Xenopus tropicalis: one gene and its partner. The protein of the gene in region 1 purifies or fractionates together with the protein of each later gene. This does not show direct contact. Links are inferred from orthologs where the notes say so. Each region holds a gene or a part of one and is shown on either strand. Other genes may lie near its edges.

Evidence for each region. The genes of interacting proteins can lie anywhere in the genome.
Region 2: the proteins of iqcb1 (region 1) and exoc1 purify together in Homo sapiens (affinity purification with mass spectrometry; 3 studies listed by BioGRID and IntAct, counting the BioPlex papers as one, with this or other methods). This does not show direct contact. The link is inferred for Xenopus tropicalis from reciprocal best matches to the Homo sapiens genes IQCB1 and EXOC1.

Annotation. Positions count from the first base shown.
Region 1 is NC_030685.2:88,565,459-88,568,012, forward strand, and holds the end of iqcb1 (IQ calmodulin-binding motif-containing protein 1), read right to left. Parts: intron 2,078-2,554; coding exon 1,848-2,077; 3' UTR 600-1,847; downstream 1-599. Other genes in the region: adcy5 (adenylate cyclase type 5), read left to right, coding at 11-135, 331-459. UniProt on the Homo sapiens protein: Involved in ciliogenesis. The function in an early step in cilia formation depends on its association with CEP290/NPHP6.
Region 2 is NC_030677.2:40,666,838-40,670,502, forward strand, and holds part of exoc1 (exocyst complex component 1), read left to right. Parts: coding exon 1-54; intron 55-820; coding exon 821-930; intron 931-3,257; coding exon 3,258-3,398; intron 3,399-3,665.

The DNA of each region.
Region 1 (2,554 bases):
CTTTCCGCAGGGCTGAACATCGGGCCAGTAGTCGCGGGCGTCATTGGGGCGAGGAAGCCACAGTACGACATTTGGGGGAACACCGTTAACGTGGCCAGTCGGATGGACAGTACCGGGGTGCCTGAGCGAATACAAGTGAGGGGGGCACCTCAAATCTTAATACCTTTTCCCTGCCCTGATATTTATTCCTTTTCCTGTTTCTTCCACCTCGTTTGTGCCTGGTTGCTAGGGTTAGAGAGTCTAGCAACCAGAGTAGCTTAATTGCTCAAATGCCCCAACTTTCCGACACTATTCTTAACGTCTCCCTCTTTTTTCCTTTCGCCCAATCAGGTGACGGCAGATCTCCAGCAGGTCCTGGCAGCCAATAACTACAAGCTGGAGTGCAGGGGCGTGGTTAAAGTGAAGGGCAAGGGGGAAATGATGACCTATTTCCTGAACCAGGGGCCCTCCAGCAGTTAGCCGACACGGAGAGACTCTGCCCAGCGAGAGGCATTTGTATTTCCCATTCCGAGGATTCCGACAGCCAAAACCCCGCCCCCAAGGGTGGGCGGGGCCATTCCTTAAATGACCAAAGATATCACATTGAGCGGATTGAGGACTCGGAGACTTTATTTATTTATTGATATTTTCCTCCATGGAGGAACCCAAGGAATGTATCATGGCGGCACTTTGCACGCGGTTTCCACGGATATTTATATATTTACTAACGATAACGTGGCCTTTGTGGATAAAGTGTCAGCGGACTCGTTACCCCGCCGGTGGGACGTCGGTACAATTATGGATTATTATGTCGCTTCCCCGACACCCACGCGGCAACGCGTTAGCGACAGACCGGACGCACGTCCTGATTTTGTACATTTTATCTTTTTTTTTGTAATATCCGAGTGTGAAACCAACGAAACCACAGATTCTATATTTTGTACATTGCGAGCGGCGTGACCGACCCACACTTGGCGGTATCAGTGCAATATACAGCGCCGCCGACTAAACTGTTAGATATCTTCCCCTTTAATTTGCCATCACTATCGGGGAGAAACTTGTTACCTGGGGTTTCCATTGTTAGCCTACAATTCCCAGCATCCCCACACAGCCTTTGGGGGTGGGCGGGGCCTCGCAGTATGGCTGCTGTATATCACTGGTACAAACCGGCCAATCCTTGGTAACGGGCAGGTAGATATCGGCCCTGATTGGCTCCTTTATAGTAATATTCACAGCCCCCGCCGCCCCACTGCCTGTGCACTTTGCTTGCCGCTGACTCCTCCCAAATAAACCGCCTTGGTTCTGTTATTTCATTGGTCGGTTGGTGCAATAAAGATTTCCCACACATTGTTGGATCATTGCACATTAAAGGGACAGTAAACCCTAGAAACAGACTTGCGCCTCTTCTCTGTTAACCCCATCGGTGGGTAAGTGAGTTTAAAGATGAACTGCCCCTTTAAGATTAAGATCATTTTTCGTACGTTATAGAAGGTTCTATTCCTGGCAACTTTGCATTTGGTCTTCATTATTTATTTGTTACAGTTTTTTTGTAATTATTTACCATTTTTGTCTACATTTTTCCAGCTGAAAAAGGCAAATAAACTATATTGAAAAAAAAGAAGACCAATTGAAAAGTTGCTGAGAATAGGACATTCTATAGCATACTAAAAGTTAACTTTAAGGTGAACCCCCCCCCCCCCCCCTTAGGGGCACTTCCCCATAACCCCTCCCCTTTCAGGACCTGCTCCATTATCCCCCTGTTGCTATGGTGCCTCCAGCAGGGAAACCAAGGGCCGAGAGTTATTAATGAAAGTATATGATAAATATATATAAAAATAATAACATGGAACATTACAGGTATGAGGTTCTCAGTCCTTGGTGCCAGCGAGGAACAGGGCCCCGAGCTCCGGAACAGGAAGATCAGAGAGAAGAACCTCGTCGTCTTCTATAAATTCGTCCCCCAGTTTCCGCCACCAGGGCCAGCGGCTGCGCCTGAGCGTCACGTTGTGCCTCTGTTTGGCTTTTAGGGCCACGGGGACCGAGCGGCTGGTAAACTTGTCCAGGTCCTTCTCTGTCACATGTGCCAAGGCCGGGGCATCTGGAACAGGGGGTAAAAAGATCTGGTGTCAGTGAGGGGGTAATAATGCCCATGGGGGGGGGGGGGAGCCATGATCCTTCTACACAAACACAACCTACAGTAACACTGATATTATTTCATACCCCTCAGTATGTGCTGGGATGGGGCCGTTACAGGCAGCAGCAGATACAGAGACCCCTACGGCCGAACCCCAAACTCAATCTGAACCCTAATTCGCTTTATTACGGTAAAAAGTTTGTCACCAAATGATGCACCAAGTGTATTTCTCAGAATCTCACTGAATCTTGGGGTTCATGCATCTCTATTCCCTTCTCCCGGGGCTGCTCTCTTTCCCCTGGTCAGACTGAGGCTCTTCCTACTCCCGGGGCTGCTCTCTTTCCCCTGGTCAGACTGGGGCGCTTCCTACTCCCGGGGCTGCTCCCTTTCCCCTGGTCAGACTGAGGCTCTTCCTACTCCCGGGGCTGCTCTCTTTCCCCT
Region 2 (3,665 bases), on another chromosome or scaffold:
GTACTAACGCAGCAGAGGCTCTCTTACAGTGTATGAATGTGACTCTTCATCCTGGTAAGAGCAGTGCTTGCTATAAAGGTTGTGGTTATTGGCTCTCTGACCATTTACTGTAATGGTTATAACAGTGTTTTTCTGCTACATTGAGATACACTTATGGTTTTACATCCACGAGTATTTCTATGGTCAGAAATACACCCTTACCGTATATATAATATTACAGCCACAAGCTACAGTGTAGGAGTAGGAAAGAACAAAATCATGATAACTTATGTCATGTTCTGCTGTTGCCTCCAGTATACCATGGTGGTCCCCATTATCATCTGCATTTTAAGTCTTAACATGTAACATGTAAGCCAGCCACTGCAAAACTGATCTTCCGCCTTCTTGGCTTTTTAAGCACATCAACAGAATTGAAGTGCATATGAGTGCATATTTATCAAAGGGTGTAAAAAGAATACTCCACTAATTTCCTTTTATTCATTTCAACCTATGATAACTGTACCCCTTTTCAAATGATGTATGGAGATGTTTATGAATATTGCTCTTTTCAGCCTTTGCTAAGTATGCCCCATTTGTTAATCTGAGGTACCCTATTTGTTGGGCTACAATTTTTATAGCACCCAGATATTCACTGATCAAGCATGCTCAGTATAGGAAACTAGGGAACGACAGGCTGGAGTGTACTCTACAGATTCGTATTTAGATATTGCATCAGGCACACCCCGTGCGTTAGTAGTTTAAAAGGAAATAAAACAAAATAGTTGTGTAAAGAAAATGATAGATTTTATAAAGAGCTTTTTCTTCTGAATTTTCTTTGTAGGACACAAAATGCTTCAGGCTGTTCAGCAGCAACAGCAGCTTTTCAGTGACCTACGGGAACAGTTTGCACGGAGACTGGCCAGCCACTTGAATAATGTCTTTGTCCAGCAGGTATTTTCCTATCTGTTTTCACACTTTATTTCATACACAAATGTCTTCAGTATTGAAGTGTTAACCACAGTCATGAGTCATAATAAAGTCTCTGAGAATCCAAATAGAGGTTTTCTGTTTGAGTAGGCTTCCCCAGTATTTTTAAGTTGTGCTCTTATTCAGGTGCAGTGAAGTTCAGTGAATTCTGTTTCCAATATACCTTAACAGAAAGTATACAGAATGGAGATTCATTAAAGTAAAAAGGAAATTGCCAGCGCTCGGTCTAACCCATGCTGTAGCACTGACCAGCAGCTAGAAACACCTTAATGGTAGCACTTGGCCTAACCTATATTCTGGAGTTGACCAGCTGCTAGAAACAATAAAAGGACATTATTTGCACACACAAGGAGGGAGAATGATAGCCAGTGCACAGCTCGCCCAGTAAGAGGGGAGGGTTATTTTAAATCACCCAGAGCCATTTACTTTGCTTCTGCCTTTAAGTATGCCAGGCACCGAGTATAAAAGTTTTTTTTAGAATACCATTTACTTTTGATTGTCATATTTTGATTTCTATTAAAACAGTTCTGTTCCTGTATTTTATTTCCCATTAGTTTACACAGATGTTCCCTCAGTTATATAGCAGGTTCTGCTCCATGTCTAAGGCTGTGAGTACCTGGAATTGGACAATGAGATCTTGAGTTTGTTTTAGCAGTTGTCAATCTAAAATTCTGCAGTCCCTAACACTTAACTTTGTTCTTATTGTTTTTGGTGTTTCTGCTCTGCCGCTTGTATGTGCATACACATTGTACTAACTAGGTGATGCAGTTACTGTGTTCAACATATATATGCTTGTGTTTAAGTGCTTACTTGTTCCGTCAGCAGGGCCAAACCGATTGGAATCTGTTCATTGTTGGTCTAGGGTTAAGGAAGAGTGGAAATAGTGTTACAAACATAGATAAGACGCAATGAGAAATAAATGTTTCTGCTACCATTACTGTCAATTATTTCATAGAAAAAAAGACATCATATTCAGTATAAAAAATATATATATATTTTGTTAATGCAATAATGGCATTTGGCAGCTCATTGACCAGATTGTTTAATCTGTCACATCAGTCGCTGCCCCAGTGCTACACTCTAATCTCCCTACCACAAACACTGGGTCAGTTCCACTAATGATCGCCAATGATCCTACCTATTTTTGGACTGATGGAGAAACATACTAACTCCACGCTATTAGTGTATTGGTCAGAATGGATCCCTATATCCCAGAACTGTGAGCCACTTACACTAACCTCTGTGTCACCTTGCATTGATTTAAAGGGAAAATTCATCTTGATAAAATAAATTATTTATATTAGTACAGTAGACACCCCATTTAAGTTTTTCCAGGGGACCAGAAAAAAATTGTATAAACCACAGTAAAATCAGGAAAACATGCTAAAGCAACTAGAGTTTTAATTATTTAAAGACTGGGGTTTTTCTTTAATATACAGTTATAGGGGTAACTTAACTAAAAAAAAAACAGTTTAGCAATAATGACTGTTCCATCACAGGTAAATATTAAGTGTTGTGCCCCAGACAGACTCATACCCCTGATTTTATGTGTTAAAGCCAAAGGTAATACTTGTTAAACTCTATTAGCTCTGTCCTATGAGTGAATGCATTCTGTAAGCTAGGAAGAAATTTTATATATTGTATCAGTGAATAATAGCTCTTTAACGTTGGTGCATATCACAGAGGTACAGATGAGACTTTATGCTAATCTCTGGCTTAGATTCTTTTTTCTGCAGGCCAGGTAATAGATTTAATGATTTCCCCATTGCATTAACCCTTAAAGACCATGTAAAACATCAAAATAAAATTAACAGTGGAGCATCTTTGGTGTTTCCATTTGTTGTTTAAGTTATTGCCTTACAGCCAATATGTAAAGCCTAGTATGTTTTACAGGATGCCTTACAGAACAGATCAGGAGGCTAAATGTTGGTTAATAAATGATTGCATTATACTGCTGCATGCTCTTGTTGTTTGCTGGTTTTCATGTTTGTGTTTTGCATTTACAGTATTCCATTTGCATAACAGGCAGGAAAATTAATCCTAAAACACTGATTTGAGATATCAAGCTCTGCATAATGTTGCCTTCTTTGCAACAATTCCATTTTGCAAAGAGGATTAGGTTTAACAATGTCTCCCCTAGGCACCTCATCCCTGCATCCCTTAGCAGCGTCCCTGAAGGGGGAATGCTGCCATTTTTTGGTTTTCAGCAGCTACATCACCAAGGGGGGGAGTTTTGCATAAAGGAAAAAATTTAGTATACGCTATTTATTTTTTATTTTTTTCCAACTCAGGGTCATGATCAAAGTTCCACTCTTTCTGCTGAAATGACTTTACCAAATCACCATCCTTTTCACCGGGACCTGCTACGTTATGCCAAGTTAATGGAGTGGCTGAAAAATACAGAGTATGTTCGATATGAGGGACTCACAAAGGTTTGTGATGCCAATATTTGTTGCTGTGCCATTATTATTCTTTCTTTAAACGCTATAACACTGACATTATTCAGTGTCAGAGACTGTGAACGATTTAGTGATTTTACATAGTGAGAGAGTTAAATAATGCTACTATGATTCCATAGGTGGCTGAAAAATTAGATTTATTACCCCACCTGACTCACCAGAGATAAATAAGAAAAGCAGTATCAATCCACTGACATTCAATAATTATAAAAATAAGTAATTTTACCATTAGGTTTGTAT